5 linked regions of the Daphnia pulex genome follow. The main gene of each other region encodes a partner of the protein of the gene in region 4 in a complex. Links are inferred from orthologs where the notes say so. Each region holds a gene or a part of one and is shown on either strand. Other genes may lie near its edges. The genes, in order: syntaxin-18-like, syntaxin-5-like, vesicle transport through interaction with t-SNAREs homolog 1B-like, vesicle transport protein SEC20-like and vesicle-associated membrane protein 7-like.

Region 1 (5,297 bases), on a different chromosome or scaffold from region 4:
ACAACAAGAAAATAGATGTTTAAATGTGGGTGAGGGTGACTTACATTAAAAGCGAATCCGGTTAAGTATTGGGGTCTAGAAGGTAATCCATCCATCCAACGACTGGAGTGACGAATGCCAAGAATTTCGTCATTCCGGTGATGACGCCTGGATGAAGTTCTGTCAAAATAAAATAATAGTTTAATAAGCATGTTTCAAAACTTCCTTGAGAGATTAACATAATAAACCGAATACCCATTTAAGTCTGGGTTGAATTGGATTCGCTCATTTGTAGCTATGATTAGGAAACGGCTGATATTAAACGAAATAGAACTAAACGATACGTCAACTAGCAAACTATTCAAGAAACGTTTGGTGAGTGCCCGACTCTCACTCGTAAGACCCATACAGTTTGTCAGAAGGAGATTTTGGATATAATGTATCGAGTATTGTCTGGAACGAAGAATTAAAACTGTTGGTCACCAGTTCAGACGATATTTGGATCAAGGTGTGTCCCAGAATTTAAATGGTTATTTAGAATTGAATGTTTAACTCCTTCACTTTCAAATAATTGAACGCAGAATTGGTAATTGGAAAGAGAGGATCCCAATATCCCATACGCATGATAGAATCCAGTTCTTCTTGTTGCGAATAAATTTGGAGTCCAATTCCCATCCAGCGTAATCGTGCAAAGAGCGAAGGAAAAACCTTTTTTAGTCGGGTCAGATTTCATTCATCTAATATCCCAGTGTCCCAAATCGATTATTTAATTAAGCGTAAGAGCTCAATCGCCTTTTTCTGATCTTTTTTCAGAGGGTTAGATAACGGATCAATTTTTGTTTGGTCGCCAACGGAAAAGGAAATACAACCAAGTTTGTTTTTCGATTGACATTCCCACGATTTGCATAAAATCTTATTTTCGCCAAACAGACGCTTTCTGGCATCGACCGGCTATGAAGGAAAATTGGTTATCTGGTCCACCAAGGTAAATTTGAAGGTAAAACGAGTGAAAGACTGGATGTCTTAAATTTCTCGCAAGGTGTTTAGAACTGGGAACAGATCATGACACCTTTTACCACCATCAGGGTTTCACCACCGGTGCCCAAGCCCAAAACTCTCAAACTAAACCTGCTCAAATAAAACAAACAACAAAAGTAATATCCACCAACAACGTAAAAATAATAAAATAAACTTTCACGAGGAAGCAATGTAGACTCACCATGAAAAGAAACCTCATGGGATGCATATTCTGATGTCTGTCGAAAAAAGATATAAACTGACTGGCACTGCATGGTGCAAAACCCTCCTACAATCCTTTCGTGCCATAGTTGATATTGTCATTTAGTGAAACAGTTCACAAATAGTTACCTTTCATCAAGTACCCAACACGTTACAATTCTAGAATAAGTCAGGCGCCATATTTTTCGTACAAATACTGCAGACAAAGGGATGTTTACCTCATCAGCATGTGTGTCACTTCCAGCCTGGTGCAGATTCAATTCACCACCGAAAATGTTGGTCACAGATTTTGCAAAGGAATCACAATGAACAGTACAATCTTTAAAGTAATATCACGCTGCTCAACACAAATGAAGACGATGGATGCACACTTTCGAACATTGTTCACTGTTCAGTGAACTTGTGAAGTAATGGCAGTAATGGTGTGCTCTCGAAGACGAATAGCTCGTCGTTCATGGGAATGGCGCCAAAGAAAAAAATACATTGCAACGAACTTGGCAAACGACTGGTAGATGGCGGACTAAGTTCCACAACAAACTGACGACGAGGACGTTTGAAAAATAGAACGGCTGTTGAGTGTTGGCAGATTTTTGCTCAAAAATCATTGTCAAACGGTAAGTTAAACAAATAAATTATAAAGAATATACATTACTTATTCAAATCAAAATATTTGTTGTTGGAAACACCGATCATGATGGATATCACGTCCCTGTTCAAGGTCTCCATCAAGACGGTCCGGACACGCAATAAAGCTAGCTGAAAACTGAAGACCCAAATTGCATTTTCCCACGACCATCCAAACATTTTTCAAAATTCCAAACGAAAGCCAAAGAGATTGTCTCAAATGTGGCCAAGTTGAAAGAGTTTTAGACAGCTAGAATTGAAAAGCAATCACGCTCGTGATGTGAGTGAACGGATTAGATAAACAAAATACCGTGATATCGGCAAAAGAGATGCCTATCAATGGACTCTGAGAAAGTTGTTATAATGTATCATTGGTTGTTGAAAGATAATTGAAATCAATTAAGTTGTCGGGAAAATGAAAAGACACGAGTTTTTCAAGTTTACTTTCTTTTGGGGTTATTTCAGTGGGTAAAAAAAATATAGTGGGTGTGGAGAGGAAAGTCGTATGGTGTGAGGTAAGGGGAGTGAGAAAAGATTTTTGTCAAAGGATTAGTCAAAATGCAGTTGCGTATCGAAAATTACAGCTATTTTAGCAACCTCGAGACAAGTTTGAAAAACAAAAAAGATTCCAGACAGAAAAAGTCAAGGTAAATTTTCCTACGACCCCGTTCAAATCCACCCCCTTCTTACCCCCTTGAACGTTTCTCTTTTGTTTTTCAGTTTTACTTTTCCAGTTCCATCTTCTTTAATTGCCACTTCAGTTTCAACATTCTTCGAGGCATCGTGCTGCCAGTCTCTTTAAATATTACTCATCTATCTGCGCATCGGTGAAATTTTTAAGATTCTAAACTCTATGGATATTCCAGCTTTAACGCTGTAAAATAATGTTTCGTTCATTTTAGTTCGCTACTTCTAAACGTGGTTTTACACTTCCGTTCGTCACTAAGGAGAGAGAAAATGACAGATGCTGTAAACTCACCAGGGAAAGGTAAGACAAATATTTATAAACTTGTCCATCGTTTTTAATCAATGTCTGATGTCCCATCCAGGTTTTTTCAAACCAGTTGAGTTCTCAATTACGAGTAAACTAGATGTGAGAAGTTCCAGTTTCCACCCCATCGATCCTGTTCTGGCGTGCGGCTTAGTTCAAGGAGGATTAGTTTTCCTTCGGGGAACTAATCACTCCACACCGTTTGAGAATTGGGAGATTGAACCCGTATACAGCCGATACGAAAGGACAATTTTATCCGTCCAATGGAACGTAAGTCTGTGAATCAAATAATTGTGTCCGTGTTTCACCCCATCAAAATCGTGTGCTAAATGTTACAGTGTTAATCCTAAGTTTCTATTTTTGTTTTTCTGTTTGGCGTAAAGGTCAATGGAACTAAAGTAGCTGCTGGCTCCGATAATGGGACTGTCATTATTGTGTCTTATCCAGGCTGTGGCAAACAAACATTCCGAAGAAATGGACGATCGAATTTCCCGTTAATTTTTTGGCATCCATTTAACCGGGACATGTTGGCTAGTTATAACAGTGCGGTAAGTGAAAAAAAAAAAACAATATTCATGTGCTAACTTAGTAGTTTGTTTAAGTAATGCGGGAAGGGAGAATTTCAAATTAAAAGTCGGTGTACACGAGAAACATTCACATTAATTTATTGTTCACCAGAAATTTTAAGTTTTAAAATTGTATCTCAAGTTGGACACAAACGAGGTGATGATTGCCAATTCAGCAGCTGAAAACCTCCTCACCCACACCATCAAATCAAAATGGAACTGTCAGACCCTGGCCTGGAACTCGCACAATCAACTCGCCTTTGGTTACGACGATGGAACGTTTGAAATTCACGAAATAGAATTGAATAACAGTCAAATGAAAAGCCGAATGGTCCAGAAAATCCGTCACGATCTGGGTGATCATGACAAAGCTGTTCACCATTTTTCGCTTATGAATTCCAGGGACAATTTTTCGCTTATGAACTACCAGGGCCAAACACGAACTTTCGTATCGAGTATCGCCATTAACAAAGAATTTGAACTTTTGGCTTCAGGTGGAACAGACTTTCGAGTCAAGGTATTAGAACTACATACGTTATATTTATTGGATTTTAATAGTCGATAGACAATTATTATTGTCTAAGTTTTTAAATTTAAATGAGTCAATATTTAAACAATTTTAATTGCAGATTTGGTCATTGGGCAGTAAAGATCCTATTCTTGTGTTGGATGTCGATTCCAATTGCAGAAATTTGGTATGGAATTCTGGCATCAAAGAAGAGATGACGACAAAAACTTTTATTGCATGGTTAGACTGCCTAGATTATTTTAATCAAGTTTTAAAAGATGCAAGTTTAAATTGACATTCTAATAACCACAGCTTTTTAATTGGCTTTTATTCAGCGGATTAGAAAGTGGAAACGTTGTAATTTGGTATCCATTTGATCATGAAATTCAGACACGAAAACTTACAGGACATGATCAGATCCATCAATTAATACTTTCACCTGACGGACGCTATCTCGCAACAACAGACTATTACAAGAAAGTGATTATTTGGTCTACAAAGGTAAAATATTTTTGATAGAAATTCTTAGTTGGATCAAACGCGACTCACGTACATTCTTTTCCCGCAATTTCTTTTTTAAATGAATTTTCAGAGTTGGAAGAGCATATACATTATACCCTCATCAGAGTATATGTATCCATACATGATGACATGGGACGCGGCCAGTTGCAAGCTAGCAATTTCAGAGAGAACAGGACAGAGACAGGTAAAATAATGCGTTTCATTCATCCAAATTTCAACAAATTAATGTTAATAAATAACTTCTCATCTCTGTGATTCAAACAGTTTAAAGTGATTGAATACTTCGTTGCCGAAAACTGCTGTGCTGGCTGCAAGAAAATGTCTCAAAATCTAAAGCGTTGCGCTCGCTGCAATTCAATCTTCTATTGTAGCAAGGATTGTCAGCGTTCACACTGGCCCCAACACAAACTTGTTTGCAATCAAAATGAATAAGTTTTGATCGAATTTTCCAAGGCAAAAGATTGAATGTAATCAACAAATTCTTCTGTTAGCAGTCCCCCTCTATGGCATGTATCTGAATTAGGAATACGAAAAATAATCCCCCAACTTCTTTCTCATTTATTTTTTGTTTTCTGTTCAATCAATAGAGCATCAGCAATCAAGGAAACAACAATTGTTAATGCTCTCTTGCAGTGTTGCTCATATATCTTGGAATATGAAAGGTTAAGTTTGAAATCGGTGAAATTTTGTTAATTCTAAATACAAAAGTTATTACGTCATTTGTCATGTAACTCAGCAATTAACAAATTCTTTCGAGATTGAAAACCCAGAGTATACATCTTCAACACGTGTTTGTACATTTTTATTCGTTTCGACAGCGACAAAATGGCAGAAACTTAAATTTTATTATCCAGGAAAAGGCTAGAAT
Region 2 (4,794 bases), on a different chromosome or scaffold from region 4:
CTTGCGAAACAAAAAGTTTTCCTATTCTCCACAGAGGCACAGAGGTCCAAATTGACGGAAATTGCCGCCATTTTTCATTGTCTGCTATGATGAGGCATTAAAGGAGGAAGGGGGGCAATCAAATTCGATTTCTTCGCCACTACCCCTGTATGTTTTGATGCGCATTTTACGATTATTAAACTAATGAAAGACATAGAGCAGCACGTTATGGTGATATTTTTAAATAATAAAATATTAGGTAATGGCCCAGGGATTACATCGGATTACATTAAATAATTTAAATCAACCAGTAGGTACGTGCACAAAGAAAGAATCGGCCATAACAGTATGAGTGCCTTATATCAAGCTAAAAGTCAAAGCTACCATGTTCCAAATCAAGCTAAAATTTAATCAGCTAAAACTTTCCTTAAAATTAAGAATGTTAATCTGATTGATACTGATACAGTATGGAAACGAGAAGTTCCATTAATTTTTTTATACCAATCTTCTAATTAAAACACCTATTACATATTGCATTCAAGGTATTTCGTATTCATGGTCAACACACAAATAGACCAGCCATAAGGTGCGCGAAACTCGAAAATTTGAAACTCTTAACAATTTGTTTGTTGACGGCGTCCATTGTCGTCTGCTACCAAGACGTTTACACTGCGACGTTTCGCACACACCGATTTCGCAGTTTAGTACGGACCCAAAGACTAAAATGCGAAACAGGGTCTCAACTTTTGGGTCCGTTTCGCACAGCTGTTTCGCATTTTAGGCGTTTCGCGTTTCGCGTTTCGCTTTCGCAGTTTAGGGACGCCCCTCTTCGGAGTAAGAGAGCACACACTCGAAGATTCAGAACTGCGGGCTAGTACTAAACTTTGGGAAAATTGTTGCGGTATTTTTTTAGATCAGAGGGTGATTCTAAACAACCTTTCAAAATACAGCTGACGGAAATGAATGGAATTGGAATGCAATTTAAAAAAATACTAGCTGGCTAGCTATAATATTGAAGATGTCAAATATAGATTAGAATTTATTTATTCTTCTGATATTTTACTATTGAATTTTATTCTTAATACATCACAGTTTATAACTTCATCATGAAAATCACCAGAAGTCTGCTGGGCAACATTTTCGTCAGAGGGCACATCTACATTCGTTAATCAAGCACAATGGAGAAACGAACCGTGAGTTTTAAATTCATTAGGATCGAAAATTGTATTGGTAAATGAATTGGAAATCGTACTTTAGATAATTTTCAAGCAAAAAAGATGGCGAATATTACAACAAACACAAGGACAACCCCAAAGACTTTTAGCATCAGCCACCTATTAGAAGAGACGGAACGAAAGTAACGCAAGAGTTCGTCATGAGCGGCTTCCACATTAAGTTGGGCATCGTCGACATTCGAGTCAATCCTACACGAAGAAAAATATTTCCATAAATTCTTTGTTATAACATATTCTAAAATAATTAATATTATTACCGCTGAACCATTTCTTCTTGTTCGCGAACCATGAGAGCCAGTTGCTGGAAAATTCCGCCCAACTCCACGATAGTGGATTCTATACTTTGGACTGCGTCAGAACGACTTTGCAGGTAAGATTCTGTTTCGTCGGCAAACACTTGCTGCTGAATTTGATTCCTGTTGGTTCTGTTGTCAGCGGCACCCATGTCGATAGCTACTGCTTCTCCTCCATGGGCTTGATAGGCAGCATCACGGAGTAGAACAGATCCTTTAGAACCATTTTGAGAGGATCCAAACGGTCCTCCTGTCAAGGCTGCAGCCGGTAAATCAGAAACGACTGGGACGGAGCCAGAAAACTGTTCTCGACGGCTTCTCTGGGCTTTAAGATTCTAAAATATTTTCAAAACATTCATTTTACTGAATATCCTAGATAATAAAATCTAGTAGTTATTTTTTAAACTAGGAAAGGCGTGTACCTCAGTGCGGACTTCAAGGACTTGTTTGAATTCAGAAGACATATTGGCTAGCTTCGACTGAAGAGCTACAACGACATTTGCTGAATGGGCCTTGGTATTTTGTTGTTGATTCTGTTGCTTTTTCATGAATCCTTGCAGATGAGCAATCTGTTTGTTCAGATTTGTGATATCTTCACGGATGATGTAAGTCAGTTCTTGGATCTCTTGAGGACGATCATCAAATAGCGTTCGTTTTTTCGCCACTGCAAGCATAAATGTGAAACCATGAAATGATTGGTTGAACAGTAGAAATTAAAAACAAAGCTAATTACATAGAGTTAGTTTTTCCAGTTTTGCATATGTGTTGCTCAAATCCTTACTAATAACTCTGTACAGAAAAAAATTTGAATATTTTCAATAGTTGCAAATATTTTCTTAAAAGTCGACAACTTACTTTGCCACTTTCATGAATTCAGAGTACTGTTGATGTTGATCTGTATTCTTAGATGGATGTGATTGACTCGGCCTCCCAACTACTCCGTTAACTGGCCTACTCTGGAAGCTTCTGACTGCAGAGAGAAACTCTGCAGTCCGATCACGTGAAGAAGCATTGGTGGAAGACAGAACTGATGAACTCGAATTAGATGCTAGGGCCATCATGTCAGCGCTGTTGGTTTTTGCTTGAACATCTACAAATTTATCTGTTGAATAATTTGGTGCAACAAATGCACCTATTTCACCCTGCGGAACAATGAAAAAGGATGGCTGCTGTTGAGGACTTTCTCCCGACCACAGTAAAACGGATGAAGAGCCTTTCAGGACTTGGTTTTGCAGTTGGGTTTCAGCAAGCGGCTGATGCTCCGATTCAGAGCCTTGCCGGCGTCTTCGAGTAATCATCCGTCAAAAATTTATCTCTCGAAAAATTCATCCGTTTTCGTCTTTGAAATCCAAATAATCGGGAACGCCAGATATTTTGCGACAAGAAACTATACCGAATGCCACGTCATATTAAGGGTTGTCTGCAGAGTGTGTGCAGACGAAAAAATACCAAACATTAGCCGTAATTCCCAACGTTGCCAACGTTAATTATCTACTGTATAAAGTTCAATATTTATCATTTTATTTTAACCTTTATCCAGCTTTATCAATTACTATTATTAATTACTATGTATAGACTTTATCTTTCTACAATGTTGGTTTGCTTTAAATGTCGCAAATTCCTCCTAAGAGAAGTATGACTTACGTACTAGGTTCTCCATCGTTCCCGCGTCATACCAATCAAAATTATGTTTTCATCTCAATTTATTTTTTTTTATTTAGGAAAAGCCGTTTTCATTGCTAGCGAGGGAAGACCAAAACAATATTATAATGCACACTTAGAAAAGTGTACTCATGTGTAATTCTACTGTTGAACACAGAAGTTCCCAAACATTTTTTTTTACATATAAATTTGTAAAGCATTTCTGTTAATTTTATTTTATTTCCTTTCCAAAAATTTTTAACAACCGTCTCAAGATTTACGCTTGATTGCCAAAGCTTACGTAAATCTTCAAATCCCTATAAAACACAAGCAAATAGTATTTGGTTGTACGGAAATAAAATCGTAAATGAAATAATATTGATAACAAACGATTTCTGCATATTATATTTACTAAATATCACTGCCAATTAAATAAGAATAGCAAATTGAGTCGTATTACTCAGAAAGAGACGGCCTGCTCATATTCGAAACAACGATGGAATGTTTAACTGTGGGCCTATAGATATGTAAAGATTGAAGAAACAACAAAGAAAATGATGGCCGGAATTGAATCATTTAAACTTTCTTGGTCGTGGCTGTGCGCTTAACCGTAGTGGACGCGCGCTTAGCAGTTGTAGGTGCGCGCTTGACAGTAGTGGTCCTAGGTCTAGGTGTTGTAGATGCGCGCTTGGCAGTTGTGGGTGCAGGTCCACGCCTAACAGTAGTGGTTCTCGGTTTAGCTGTTGTTCCTGCCCGCTTGACAGTAGTTGTTCTCGGTTTAGCTGTTGTTCCTGCGCGCTTAACCGTTGTCGATGAACGCTTAACAGTCGTAGCAGCACCAGCCATGGGCTTAGCCGTCGTCGATACCTGTTTAACAGTTTTGGGCGTTGTTTTTGAAGCACTCTGCTGGGAATTAGCCAGCGAAATGATGGCTACCACAATAAAAATCTTCACCTATTGAAATCAAACGCATTTTCATTAAATATTTATCAAAGAGTATACACAGTCATAATTTGTTATTGGTAAAATCACTTTCGCCGTGCTTTTGGCCGCTTGGTAGCTTAGAGGCAAGGCTTTAAATACGAATTTTTAAAAATCATTCAGGAAATAGAATACATGAAATACTATTTCAATAAATCGCTGCACTACATCCCAAATGAATTCCATTTAAATTGATTCTACGGCCTATGTCTAAATATAATACAGGTGTAACAGATACAAAGTAAATGTAACAGTGATCATACCAATAAGTACTTCATTGTGTTGAATTTTTCTTCTAGCTGCCGATGAAAAGGAGTTGTTTTCTCGAACGAAGATTACTGGTTACTTGATCAGGAATTACCGAGTCACGCATTAATATAGCCGCGGATGCCCATTTTTTTTTTTTTTTTTGCACTTCCTTCTTCACTTCTAACATTTTTATGTTGTATTGGCGGATAGTTTCAGTCCTTCTTGTTCAGAAAGGATATTTCCTTCGGTGGTCCGAACCACGTAGGAGGATCATCTATCTTTGCCATAAGAATTGTTCTTGTACTGCAATGCTGCGTGACTATTCATTCGTTTTCTAGCGGACAAGCTTTTCCGGTTTAACAACTCCGCGGCTGTCAACATTTGGTAACAAGACAATGAAGAATCAAAAATGCAAA
Region 3 (4,090 bases), on a different chromosome or scaffold from region 4:
TCCATACAATGATAGTAGTAAATAAGGTCATATTGAATTAGAACTAAAATGTTTTTACATTCAGGTCACTTGATCAATGATGTCCCGGAGATGCCTTTGGTTGTGTCGGACAAGGTTCAAGAATACAAAAAAACCAAACAGGCCGTCGTGTTGTTGCGCCGTCTTCGCGCATGGACTGATGTCCAGAAGGTTTGTTTCTAGATATTTATGTATAATTATCACGGGAAAATGATGAGTTGCTTCTTGGTCTGTGTTTATGAGTAAATGATTTCACCTTAGAGCTCTGAACAAAATCTGAGTCATGAATGATTTTATGTGTGAACACCGTCTAATTAATCTGATTTCTTACAGGTTTACAAGACCAGGCGTTTCCGCGCAGGTAAGGGTAAGATGCGCAACCGTCGCCGTACCAGCAAATTGGGTCCACTGGTCATCTATGGCAGAGATCAGGGTTTGACCAAGGCTTTCCGTAACATCCCCGGAGTTTCTATGATTTCAGTAAACAAACTGAACCTCATGAAGCTTGCTCCTGGTGGTCATGTTGGCCGTTTCTGCATCTGGACCGAGTCTGCTTTCCAACGCTTGAACGCCCTCTACGGTACTTGGCGTCAGAAGTCTAAGCTGAAGAGCAACTACAACTTGCCTCAGCCCATCATGACCGGAACAGATTTGTCTCGTTTGTTGAAGTCTGATGAAATCCAGAAGGTTATCAGACGACCAAGGCAAGCTTTCTTTTTAATCTTTATTATTGATTAATTAATGATGAAAACCACATTTAGAGCATTGGGTTATGAATCTTTGTGATTAGCAAATTAATCTGAACGCAGTTTATCATTCAAGTGATACTGTCTGGTGCAAAGATGACTAATCGATACAATTTAAATTACAGGAAGATGATCCGTCGTGCATCTGTTAAGCGCAATCCTCTTACCAACATGAGAGCATTGATGAAGTTGAACCCGTACTCCGCCGTGATTAAGAAGTCTGCCGCTGCTGTTGCTGAGGCCCGGAAGAAGAGCAAGACTGCTTTGCTCGAGAAGAAGCGCGAGGTAATTTTGTTTTCTGTGAATGTTTGTATGTCTTAGATAGTTTTTCGTTTGATTTCTGTTTGAATTGTTAAAATTGTATTACCGCATGTGAACGTAACTTAATGCATGCCACATTGTTTAACATGTACAGGCGAGTGCTACCAAGAAGGTAGCTGCCTAGCCTGCGAGTGAGCGCACACAGCATGGTTTATTGAGCTAATCAACAGATGTTTTTGGTGAGTTGTCCATCGTAGTGAGAATCTGATTTGGAAAATAGTCCAAGTTCTAATTTGTATATCCATTCTACAGTCAGTAGTACCCGTACCAAATTTACCTGTTGAAAAGCCGAAAGAAGAAGCGCCCGTTCAAGCACCGGTCCAAGATGTCAAACCAACTCAACCTCCTCCTGTTGAAACCCCTAAGCCAACACCACCAGAAACAAAGAAAAGCAAGAAATCCAAGACGGCTGCAAAGGATTTGCAAGTAGAACCGATGGATGTAACACCCGCGTCCGTTGTTGAGGTGAAGACTGCCCTAGCTCCAGCTAAGGAACCATCTCCGCCAATCGTTACCATCCCTGAACCTGTAGTTAAGGTGGTAACACCAGTCGCTACTCCTGTAAAAGGAAAATCGCCACCAGTCGTTCCTGCCCCAACACCGATTGCTGTCCCGGAAGTGAAGCCGTTGGAAAAGGTTCTTGCTGCTCCCGTTGAAGCTATCCCATTAGAAGAAGCTTCTGTTCCCGAATCAGCTGCTGATAAGGGATCGAAAGCCAAGAAAGCAAAGGGGAAGAAAAATAAGAAGGAATGAGTGACATCATTGAACCTGTGCCTGTATGACGTTTTTTCTGTGACATCTGAATAAACCTTCTGCAGGCTGAAATGTGTTTAATTTATCTTAATAATTAGCTATTAAATGTAAATGTCATGGAAATGCTAATTCTCGCCGTTTGTGGCGCTGTCTTCAATGTTTTGTCAGATGGTGTTTTATACGTCAAGTCTACAATACATTCCTTGTCTTCGTCCTGATAGCAAGGTATCGTATGTAGTGCTCAAATAGGTTCAGAATTGTGCTACAAGAAACAGAAATGAGCTCAGAGAAATTTGAAACTCTGGATGAAGATGTACAAGTTTTGTTCGAAATTCTGCAAAGAAAGTGTTCCGGTAAGCTAGAACAATGTTTTGGCGAAGAAAAAAAGCAAGTTATTGCCGATGTCGAAAGAGGACTAGATGAAGCTAAACAAGCAATATTTGAAATGGAAGCTGAAGCTAGAGCAGCTCCTGGCTCTTTTAGGATGGACATGATTGGCAGGTAAAAATGTGAATGTCTTAAGTTTACACAGCAAACAATACATGTAGTAAAATTTCAACTAATGTTTTTTTTATCATCCAACTTCAGAGTACGAAGACATCAGGACACCTGTTCCAAACTTGCTCTATTGATCAATTCTTCCAAGCAATCAGAAATGTCTCTGGCCTCATCAAGAGGAAAACTGTTGGAAAACCAATCCACTGCTGCATTTAGCCAAAACCGGGGCATTGATAATGCTCTTCAAACAACTGTTCGCCAAGGAACTGCAGTTCTGGAAAGAACATCACAGAGCCTCTACAGAACTACTCAGGTTGCTTTAGAAAGTGAAGAGATTGGCACTGGAGTTATTCAAGAATTAAGTCAACAAAGAGAAGTGCTTGTTCGTACAAGAGATAGATTGACTGAAACGGATGCAGAGCTGGGAAGAAGTAGAAGAATCCTTAAGTCAATGTCTCGTGTTGCTATGACTAATAAGCTTGTCCTAATTGTCATCATTCTGTTGGAGATATGCATTTTGACAGGTTTAGTTTATTATAAATTTTTTTCTTGAAATTATTGTCCTCAAATTCTTAACATACCTCATCAAAAATGTAACTAATAGTGTTAGTGCCTTGAATTTGTGTAAAAGCCGATACAAAAATATAATCATGCGCATAGCGACCAGTATTTTTTTCCCCTTGCGTGCGCAAAGGATTTCCTAGCGGCCTTCGTACGCAGACGGAGTTACGAACCCAACCTCTGGCTTTCAGTTCCATTTGACAGAAGCTCTTCCTGTGTCATGGCGTGCTATACGTGTATTTAAAGTTTTTGCGTTTGCCAACGAAATCTGAGATTTTTCTAAGTTGTTCGTGCTTCGACATCGACAGTTAAAATGGGGTAAGTTGTGCATTTATTGATTCTGTATAGTCTTAAATGAAAAATCGATTCGTACCATATATCCACGTAGCAACAGCTGGATGCTGAGCACCACTGTCAAGTCTGAATTCAAATTTACTGTAATTAAAAGGGTATATGTTTCAAATATTTGTATTTTGGACTATGGAATTAGACAAATAAGAATTTTCCATTAGGGTGTATAAATACCATTAAGCTAAAGTGTAAATCAATATTGAAGTCACAGACTCACTGAAGTGTCCCGTCATTCAAATGTTAAAAAAGATTTTATTAATATCTTGGCTGTAAATATAGCATTCATATTTTCAAACTAATAAGCTAAGCTGCATCCAAGTTTTCAACCTGTACTAAATTCTAAAGTTGTATTGAGCTAAACTTCGAAGCTGAATGACTTGTGCCTCTAGCTACAGCCCAGAAGGATTGTTGCGAAATGTTATTCTCAACTCAAGCAATAGATTGTTGCTTTAGGTGATACATCAAAGTAATATTTCATCCAGCCAGAAAACTCTTGATATTGCTAGGATGCTAGGCCCACTGTTAGTGGGATTTTAGTCACACAATATTGATTTACTTTGAAACATGCAAGCCCCATTCAGACAATTCCAAAAGCACAAACATTCAACAATGATAATGGGAAATAGAAATTTGTGGACTTTGTGTATTCAGTTGTAAGAAATCGATGCTGCGTGTCCTGTGTCTAATTCCTAGATGGCTACTTCGAACCCTTTCCCTTATTTTTCATGGTATTTATTAGTTAATGCTATTCTCGTCATGTTAACTTTCATCCGTACCTACAGTATTCTCCTTTTTTTTCGTTTGCTCACTACAACGTAAGATATCGCGTGTCGAGTTTCATT
Region 4 (4,088 bases):
TTATTAGAATGGAGGAACTGAAGTGCTGGCTAGTTTTATCAATACTCTTAATGGCAAAGATGGCACTGGCAGTCATTTAGTTACCATTCCACCCGGTAATTTTACAAATCCTTTTAAAGGATGTATATATTTTTACAGTATCAATTTTTTGTTTAAAGGGCCCCATCTTGCCGATGCGCTGATTTCCTCACCAGTCATTCAAGGAGAAGATGGTACAGGAGCGGTTGGAATGGGGGCTGGAGGTTTTGAATTTGTCGATCCTAATGAAGATCCTGAATTAGCTCTCGTAAGTGTTATCACTATTTAAATAGTTTATTATTTCATTTTAAAATTATTTTCTTATTAAAGGCGTTACGAGTGTCGATGGAGGAGCAGCGTCAGCGTCAAGAGGACGAAGCTCGTCGTTCGGGAAATCCGCCGGCTACAGAGCCCGCTGCAGCTACCACTATTGGCGGTGCCCCTGCTTCCAACGAAGATGCTATGCTCGAGCGTGCGTTGGCTATGTCTATGGATCAACCAAGTGTCAATACAACTGTAGCCAGTGCCGCCCCTGCAGCACCCGTTTATCCCGATTTCGCAACAATGACTGAAGAGGAACAAATTGCATATGCAATGCAAATGTCCATGGCAGAAGCTCGTAAGTTCTTTGTAAGGTGATATGTTGTTGCGGTTTGTAGACTAATAATTTAATATAAAATTCAGAGGGACCAGTAAAAACGGAAACCGAAGCTATGGAAGTAGAACCAACGCCAGCAGCTGCGGCTAGTGATGATTATGATGAAGTTATGAAAGATCCCGAATTTCTTCAGAGTGTCCTAGAAACGCTTCCAGGTGTTGATCCTTCAAGTGATGCTGTACAATCTGCCGTCGACGCTTTGCGAAACCAAGATAAAGACAAAAAGCAAGGCAAAAAGCCTGACTCCAAGTAAACAGATTGATTTCTTACGCGTCGCGAATGTTTGAATCCGGAATAAATTGATTTTCATCTGTTCATTACGTCTGCATTTAATGTAATGCGGAAGGTGTTTTGTTCGGTTGGCACATAACTGCGTAATTGATTATTCTAGGATGTTTTCGTATTTTTCTGAACTGAATAAAGAAACTCAAAAAATCTTGATGTACAAATTTATCTCTAGAACATGCGCTTTTGAATGACATATACACAAGCTGCAAAGAATGCAGCCAAAGCTAGAATAATTAAAATCAAATCGGTCGTCTCTCTCCGTCCAAACCGGGAGACCAACTTTTTTGTGGTTGTTAAGGCGCTTCCCATAACTTTAAACTCATCCTGATTGTCACTCACAGCATGTGATGATTGAGCTACACAATATATTAATTTATAGTATTGATTAAATTTAAAAAAAAATGGATTAATTGTTCATACCAAGTACTTCTAGAGTTCCTCTATTTTGCTCCAGAACACTAGCCATGGATTGACTTATACTTCTCAAATTGGCAGTCACATTGGTTGACATTTTGATAAGTTCCTCTTTTGATTTAGTTTGTCTACAAATTTAACATAAATTCAAATAAGCCAACAAGACAGAAATCAAATTCATAAAGTTACCTGGATCTTACTTCCATATCTTCAGGATTACTGTAAAAGAGTTCAGCTTTGTTTTTTAAACTGACAGTTAGTTGGCACTGTACATTAGCTTTCCTGGAAAGATGAAAGAAAATAATGCATTAAAACATGAAAACTTACAAACTATTACCGAAATGCACTTTGGAGACTTTTCAATTGATTTTTGAAGAGATTGACATCTTCAGATAGTTCTCCATCCTCATCTTCATCTTTGGAAATTTTTTCAAACTCATCGATACAATTTTTAAGTTTTCTAAATTCTGACCGATATTCTGAGTTCAACACCACAATATCAGCTTCTGTAATATCTGTCTTTTGTATTTGCTTTACAGAAAAAGTGTGGATGATTAATAGCAATCCGATTACATTAATATAATTTAATATTTGCATTACATACATGCAGAATGGTTTGTATGGTCAAATTTCCTTTAAGAATGTCATTTTTCAAAGATTCTATTTCACTACCTTCAGAATTTTTCATTGTATTTTAATATTTGGGGTAAAATGCACGAAACTGCCTATTTATCGCTATTCGCTACACTGACAGATTCACAGCAGATGGTTTGTTGTGATGTGTGCCACGTTGCCCAAGAAAGAAAAAATTGCATCATTCCAAAAGAAGTACTTTTTTATTGCGTAAAAATAATTAAAACGATTAGAATCTTTGTTTCTAATGTAATAAGAAAGTTTCGTCATAATTTCTAAGCTGTTTAGAAAACTTGGAGACAGAGTGCTGGCTGCTGGAGGTCATTCAAGGTAAATCGGTTCTTTTAATGGCGCATAGTATAGTGATAAGCAAAACAAACGCTTCCTTTTTGGACCGCTGGGAAGTGTACTTGTAATGCTGACGAAAGTGGAATAGAATAGAAAGAAGTGAAAGAATAGAGGTTTCGGTTTGTTCTACTGGCAGAGTTCTTTTTAAAAAATTGTGGAATTGGCCTATAGAGAAGAGCAGTTACAGTTTGGACGTGCATTGTGATGTGTAGCTTGTTTAATCTGTGGTGATCTACTCAATCTAGATGAAATGATACCTCGGACAGCCTAGTTACTACAGTTCATTTCGCGCCCAGTTTGTGTTGTGTTCAAGTCGATCCCTTGTCGACCCATCTTTGATGCCAAGTGAAAAGTAGCTTACAAATACCGTAGTATAAATAGTACCTTTGGAAATCAACAAAAAGTATAAATATTGCGCACAAAACTGTGTCGCATTTGGCAAAGCCCATTCGGCAGTTTTAATTTTAGTGTCGTAGCTTTGTTATTCTCGAGTAAACCACAACAACAAACACATTTTAGCTCCCTTCGCTCGTACTGGTGGTCGCTAAATTTTAGGTCTCCTTGGGCTTTAACTAGTCTATATTTTGAAGATGGCCATAGTCATTCAACAGCAGCGTCAAAACAAACGCCATAAAACAAAATCCATCGGGAGCCCCGTAAGTATATTTCATCACATTTTGTGAAAGGGAAACCGCTATACACAGTCCTTTGTTGTCACATGACGTCAGCATGATATCCGTTATGTTCTATAGTCGTGTTCAGACTTGTTCAGATTTCTTTTTTTCTTCTTCAAACCCCAATTCTTTTGTTTACCGTGTTCTAAACGACCAACAGTGGGGCAGGTTTCCCTAAAATTTTTATAAGAGTGCAGTGAAAGTAAACACTGAATTTTACTATTTTTTCTGACCCAGATAACAAGACTGTAGAGTGCCCAATAAATAAGATGCACTTTCTTTTTCTATTTATTTACGACTTTATTGTGATGATCTCTTTTTAAAAAAAGGACCCTATGGATGCATTTTTGGGGTTGTACGACAATGGATCGGATTCAGACGATGACGAATGGATTTCTCAGCTCGAAATAGGTGATCCTCTGGCCAGTAACAGCAACCAAAAGAAGAATCTACCACCAGAACCGCAATCCGGCAATATTGAATATAAACTTAAATTAGTGAACCCTTCGGAGCAACGGATCCAGCATCTTGTCACGCAGGTATTACTAACGCTAGTATATCACGGATGTGCACTCATCCATTTTTTAAATAAGCAATTAGTTAAAGAATGTTTTCAGTTGTAATTAAAAATTCATGCGGAGAAAAACCCGCCATAACTCTTCCCGCTTGTAGTAATAAGCAAAACAAGAGATTAAATCTTACTGCATAATTGTATCATTAATCTTTTAGTCAAAACCCAGTCATTAAGGCTGTATATGGTAAGGTAAGCAGTTTAGAGAAATATGGTTCAATGCACTTTTGGGACCCGGTCATTTGAAACACGTTTTGATGACGTTTGTGATTATTTTGCATGACGTCATTTTTTATTTAGATTACACGTGGAAAGTTTGAAAACGACATCTAGTGCTTTCAAATTCAAGTTACAGATTCCAGGAATTTCGCAGCATTGTACTTTGAAAGTATATATTCTTTTTAGGGTGCTTTTGGTCTAGACCTTAAGTAATAAATAGCCCACAGGGACGGTAGCCAAAAGTGATTCATTATCATACCAAGGG
Region 5 (4,450 bases), on a different chromosome or scaffold from region 4:
AAAAAGAAAACTATCTCTCGATAGAATTATATTTATTTTGTCATTTTGTTTTCAAAATTGAAAAAAAAAAACAGAAAAATTTATTGTAAAAGAAATATGACGCACGCGCATATTTTGTAACACCTGCACATGGTTTGTGTCTTGTCTGTTTTGGTCTGGTCGTGGTTTTCAAGTTTTATACATTTCCCAATTCGCATAATTTAAAAAATGGAAAGCAAGACAGGTATCCTTAAATGATTATTATTTTATCCTGACACAAAAATTGTATCAATTTTCTTCTTCCCATTACTTCTAAAATTTTCAGCGTCGATTTCGGGATCAAAAAAGATTTCACTAAAACCCAAAAATGTGAGATCTTCAGCTTATGTTAAACGATTAAAGGTTGCACTAACCAAACAGAAGGTAAATTCTAATTCTGCTCACCAAAGAACACCACTTTCAGCTCCTCAAAGAAAAACTAAAGAGAGAGCATCGATTGCTAGTGATGCAAGACAAAGATTGGAATCTGCACGGTTCAGGTATTTTTTGTTGTTGTTGACAATATTCCAGCCTATCATAACATTTAATTTCAGGTATCTGAATGAAGAGCTGTATACCAAAAGTAGTAGTGAAGCATGGGAACTTTTCCAAGAAGACCCCCAATCATTTGATATATACCACAAGGGGTTTAAGAACCAGGTTTTGAAATGGCCAGTCAACCCATTGGATATCATCATCACTGATCTTATGAAAGGGTAAAATAAAACAAGCCATGTGCTAAAAAATTGCTTTAATTTAACAAATGAAAATTTTTTTTTTAGTCCTAGAAACTGGGTGATAGCTGATTTTGGTTGTGGTGAAGCTCAGATAGCAAACACCATTCCTAATAAAGTTCACTCTTTTGACCTTGTAGCAGCAAATGACAAAGTTACTGCTTGTGACATGGCTTCTGTTCCTTTGGCAACCAAAGCTGTTGATGTGGTATTTCAGCATTATTTATGCATTATAAATTTTGATCAAACAACAGATATTGCTTGTTCAGGTGGTCTTCTGCTTATCTCTCATGGGTTCCAACATACATGACTTTTTAAAGGAAGCTAATAGAGTCCTTAAAATTGGGTAAATGCTACATACAGATTTTAAAAAATAATAATCTTTATTGATGTAATTTTTAAATTACAGTGGTACTTTGTGTGTAGCTGAAGTTGAAAGCAGATGTAGCAATATTAATGATTTCTTGAAAACAATTGAACGTTTTGGATTCCAACTCAAAGAAAATAACGTTCAAAAATACTTTTTTCTCGCAAAGTTTAGCAAGATTCAAAACATGAGTCCCAAAGCAACTATGCCAAGAATATATTTGAAACCTTGTCTGTACAAAAAACGATGAATAGAAAAGTACACATAAATGTTGAACATCATAACAAAGAAACCGACTCATTATATGTTACGAATGTACAGAAACGTATTTGGTTGAAATAGAATGTTTGTTTTAAAAACTGAAAGAAAAATTAGATCACGCGCAGAATTTGTGCATCAACTATTTTGAATGCATGAATGCCAATTCAATCCTCCACATGCTATGCTAACGACAAAATACACAATAACCTACGGAAAAATAGATATTTTCAATTAGATTTCATTTAAAATATTATTCCGAATTTTAGAATGTAGTTCAGGTCGATAAATGGTAAAAAAAAAAAAATTACGAATGAAATAAAGATAGTTATTTAAACTGTAAAACAATTATAACATACCAAAATCACGGCAGCAGTAATTGCTGTTATTTTTATGTTTTTCCAGAACAAGGAATTAGCCAAATTTCGACTTGATTTCCGGAAAGTAACAGCCTAAAAACAATTTAAAATAACTTACTTGGTAAACCAAAGTAAAATTTAAAAATATCTAAAATATACATACTGACGCGCTGAGGCTTTCGGTTTTATTAACCAGTAATTCTAATCTTTCGCCACGTGCCGCTAAGGAATCTAATAATGAGCAAAATTAAATTAAATGGTATTATGTTACTACTGCTGGAGGTTGCAAATTCTTGCTGGCTCGTATTTACACTTTACCTATATTTTTCACCATTACATCTTTCAAGTCGTCCAATTCTCCTTGAACTTGAGAAACGGTATCGATATCTCGAGATTCAGAAAAGTGTTTCTGGTTTTAAAAAAAAAATCTCAGTAATGTCTGAAATAATTGAGAAGAATTTCACGACTTACCATTAGCCCTGCCAAAATTTTCGAAAACTCCGTGTTCATAGCATATGGTAGAGCAGAGTATGCATGGGCTCCAAAAGTATTTACAAATTTCTTTTTAACTTCATTCAAAAATAAAAATGCTCTTGAACGTTCAAATTCCTAAAATAAAGGTTTCTATTTATATATCATCTTCTACAATTGCAGACAATAAAAAAAAGATTTACATCATCTGAGATGCAAAGATAAATTATTCTGTCTTGCAAAATATAGTGGAACAAAAATGATCCATGAGAGTAGGTCATTTTTGAATCATCAAGTCCAATTTGAGCTAGAACTTGCTCTGTGATCTCAGAAAAGTTTCCAGTACAATTATTGGCAAATCTAGCCAAAACAGTGTTTCCTCTACTAACAACACTATATAACAGCGGCATTTTCCTTCTAAAAAATTAACATATGAGATTATGTAATAAAGACTAAATATTTTTTATGGGTCAACTAATCTCATACCAACAAAACTTTCTCGACGATTCAGACGATCTTCAATCCCATCAATAACTTGACGAACGTGTATAAAAAACTGCAGAGAAACTCACGATGGATTACAGAACTTATGAAGGAGCAGATATTATGACACTCAAAAGACGTTGCTATAGTTTTGGATAGTTGTAGGACGAATATAATTAATTTTTGTAAGTATTAAGGATTAAACAACCTATCTTAAATTATCAAATGACAATCCACTCCAGTCAATGACTCAATGTTGACTATTGTCGGAACCACGTTATAGAGTCTATGGTTTGCTCACTCACTAGAGCAGAGCAATAGATACCTGGTCGGTTCTCGGCCGTGTTGGCTTCCCTATCCCGGTTTCAGGGTAAACGTGGTCCGATTTGGAAAAATTGATGAGCGCCTCTAGTGAGTGTGTCAGGTACTACGTGAAGCCAGCCAATCAGGAAGGGTCTATGAAAAACTCATTGACCAATCACAGCTTACTTTTCTACAAGAAGTGAACAAAATAAAAAGGTAGAAGTATCCAACTGTCAAACCTCTAGGTCTTTTCTAAGTGTCCCAACATTCTTACATTTTATTGTTTGGTTGTGTAAATTGTTTATTCTTTGTAAGTGTCCAAACATTCTTACATTTTATTGTTTGGTTGTGTAAATTGTTTATTGTTCCGTTGACATAATACACTACTTCTTGTTTTGAAAATGTACACTTTTCACATTATAATTTTCATTTGGTAGTCGATCCATCGAAATGCAAAAAATCGTTTGTTTAATTTGATCAAAATACCATGTCCAATTCTTTGGTACCATTGATGAAGTTACTAGTGACTGAAATGTCACAAAATTAGACTTGAAATTAGTAGAGCTTGCTTCCATAGAAGGTGATGTAACTGTCGAATCATCAATGACAACAGCAACATTTTCGTTCATTACATCAGGAAGTGGATCAAAAATTGCTTCTTCAGCAGCCTGGTGAGTGTCCATTGATTCTTGAATAGTAGAGGTAGCTTCCATAGAAGGTGATGCAACTGTCGTATCTTCCATGACAACAGCAAGATTTTCCTTGATTGAATCTGGAAGTGGATCAAAAATTGCTTCTTCAGCAGCCTGGGGAATGTTGATTGATTCTTTAATAATTTCCATGGAGGGTGCTATCAGATAAAATTTAAAGCAATTGCTCTTATAAATAAAATGTAACGAGAACTATTATCAATACCTGTACTGTCAAATTTTTTTCTCTTAGACGTAGTAGGTATTTTGTCTACTTTTGGTCGTTTCCTTACTGATGCATTGCTAGCATTTGTTTCCACTACAATACATATTTAAGAATTGCGTTATTTGATATTAAACAAAATAAACATATTTAAAAATACCATTAAGGTTATTTCTCCATTTGAAACCATCAACATTTTGCATTGCTTGTCGACTAGGTGTATCTAAAATGAAAATGGTTCAGTTTCTGTGCTTTACAGATTATACAGGAAATGTAATATCAATACCATTTATCAGAAAATGTTTGGGAATTGCTCCAGCATTACGATTCCTACGTTTGAAAGGATGGAACACGTTCAAAATTTAAATCCCTGATTTGAAGTCACTTTCGTCAAAATGACGGGAGCAAATACGTGAGGTGCTCGTCAAATAACTACATGGAATTAGTTCTCGCCATTTAGATAATGAAGTTTTAGGAATTGCAAACAGGGTAACCTCGTTTTCTTTTTGATTTCCTTTGAAATATGTTGATTTACAACCAGGAAC

The links.
Region 1: vesicle transport protein SEC20-like (region 4) and syntaxin-18-like share a complex: the UniProt entries of both Homo sapiens proteins name them as parts of the SNARE complex. The link is inferred for Daphnia pulex from reciprocal best matches to the Homo sapiens genes BNIP1 and STX18.
Region 2: vesicle transport protein SEC20-like (region 4) and syntaxin-5-like share a complex: the UniProt entries of both Homo sapiens proteins name them as parts of the SNARE complex. The link is inferred for Daphnia pulex from reciprocal best matches to the Homo sapiens genes BNIP1 and STX5.
Region 3: vesicle transport protein SEC20-like (region 4) and vesicle transport through interaction with t-SNAREs homolog 1B-like share a complex: the UniProt entries of both Homo sapiens proteins name them as parts of the SNARE complex. The link is inferred for Daphnia pulex from reciprocal best matches to the Homo sapiens genes BNIP1 and VTI1B.
Region 5: vesicle transport protein SEC20-like (region 4) and vesicle-associated membrane protein 7-like share a complex: the UniProt entries of both Homo sapiens proteins name them as parts of the SNARE complex. The link is inferred for Daphnia pulex from reciprocal best matches to the Homo sapiens genes BNIP1 and VAMP7.

What each region holds. Positions count from the first base shown.
Region 1 is NC_060027.1:1,471,059-1,476,355, reverse strand, and holds the start of syntaxin-18-like, read left to right. Parts: upstream 1-1,799; 5' UTR 1,800-1,832; intron 1,833-2,542; exon of another isoform or gene 2,543-2,669; intron 2,670-2,744; exon of another isoform or gene 2,745-2,799; coding exon of another isoform or gene 2,800-2,830; intron 2,831-2,891; coding exon of another isoform or gene 2,892-3,103; intron 3,104-3,216; coding exon of another isoform or gene 3,217-3,381; intron 3,382-3,541; coding exon of another isoform or gene 3,542-3,916; intron 3,917-4,028; coding exon of another isoform or gene 4,029-4,147; intron 4,148-4,242; coding exon of another isoform or gene 4,243-4,408; intron 4,409-4,499; coding exon of another isoform or gene 4,500-4,613; intron 4,614-4,693; coding exon of another isoform or gene 4,694-4,861; exon of another isoform or gene 4,862-5,148; intron 5,149-5,297. Other genes in the region: F-box-like/WD repeat-containing protein TBL1X, read left to right, coding at 2,800-2,830, 2,892-3,103, 3,217-3,381, 3,542-3,916, 4,029-4,147, 4,243-4,408, 4,500-4,613, 4,694-4,861. UniProt on the Homo sapiens protein: Syntaxin that may be involved in targeting and fusion of Golgi-derived retrograde transport vesicles with the ER.
Region 2 is NC_060017.1:4,340,971-4,345,764, reverse strand, and holds syntaxin-5-like, read right to left. Parts: upstream 2,960-4,794; 5' UTR 2,806-2,959; coding exon 2,363-2,805; intron 2,297-2,362; coding exon 2,241-2,296; intron 2,172-2,240; coding exon 1,930-2,171; intron 1,843-1,929; coding exon 1,472-1,842; intron 1,404-1,471; coding exon 1,244-1,403; 3' UTR 1,006-1,243; downstream 1-1,005. Other genes in the region: proteoglycan 4-like, read right to left, coding at 3,725-4,102, 4,393-4,407. UniProt on the Homo sapiens protein: Mediates endoplasmic reticulum to Golgi transport.
Region 3 is NC_060018.1:4,117,294-4,121,383, forward strand, and holds vesicle transport through interaction with t-SNAREs homolog 1B-like, read left to right. Parts: upstream 1-2,001; 5' UTR 2,002-2,115; coding exon 2,116-2,339; intron 2,340-2,426; coding exon 2,427-2,889; 3' UTR 2,890-2,999; downstream 3,000-4,090. Other genes in the region: uncharacterized protein LOC124189006, read left to right, coding at 65-189, 352-722, 890-1,049, 1,338-1,838; homer protein homolog 2-like, read left to right, coding at 3,211-3,215. UniProt on the Homo sapiens protein: V-SNARE that mediates vesicle transport pathways through interactions with t-SNAREs on the target membrane. These interactions are proposed to mediate aspects of the specificity of vesicle trafficking and to promote fusion of the lipid bilayers.
Region 4 is NC_060020.1:3,407,572-3,411,659, forward strand, and holds vesicle transport protein SEC20-like, read right to left. Parts: upstream 2,318-4,088; 5' UTR 2,067-2,317; coding exon 1,983-2,066; intron 1,910-1,982; coding exon 1,716-1,909; intron 1,661-1,715; coding exon 1,568-1,660; intron 1,507-1,567; coding exon 1,385-1,506; intron 1,321-1,384; coding exon 1,133-1,320; 3' UTR 1,114-1,132; downstream 1-1,113. Other genes in the region: 26S proteasome non-ATPase regulatory subunit 4-like, read left to right, coding at 8-95, 159-286, 349-637, 703-929; GTP-binding protein 2-like, read left to right, coding at 2,950-3,015, 3,363-3,572. UniProt on the Homo sapiens protein: As part of a SNARE complex may be involved in endoplasmic reticulum membranes fusion and be required for the maintenance of endoplasmic reticulum organization. Also plays a role in apoptosis.
Region 5 is NC_060018.1:6,537,305-6,541,754, reverse strand, and holds vesicle-associated membrane protein 7-like, read right to left. Parts: upstream 2,986-4,450; 5' UTR 2,899-2,985; intron 2,764-2,898; 5' UTR 2,694-2,763; intron 2,625-2,693; 5' UTR 2,618-2,624; coding exon 2,411-2,617; intron 2,346-2,410; coding exon 2,208-2,345; intron 2,146-2,207; coding exon 2,055-2,145; intron 1,968-2,054; coding exon 1,900-1,967; intron 1,830-1,899; coding exon 1,737-1,829; intron 1,588-1,736; coding exon 1,516-1,587; 3' UTR 1,370-1,515; downstream 1-1,369. Other genes in the region: ribosomal RNA-processing protein 8-like, read left to right, coding at 208-223, 305-734, 801-960, 1,022-1,098, 1,162-1,369; uncharacterized protein LOC124188813, read right to left, coding at 3,377-3,843, 3,909-4,001, 4,066-4,108. UniProt on the Homo sapiens protein: Involved in the targeting and/or fusion of transport vesicles to their target membrane during transport of proteins from the early endosome to the lysosome. Required for heterotypic fusion of late endosomes with lysosomes and homotypic lysosomal fusion.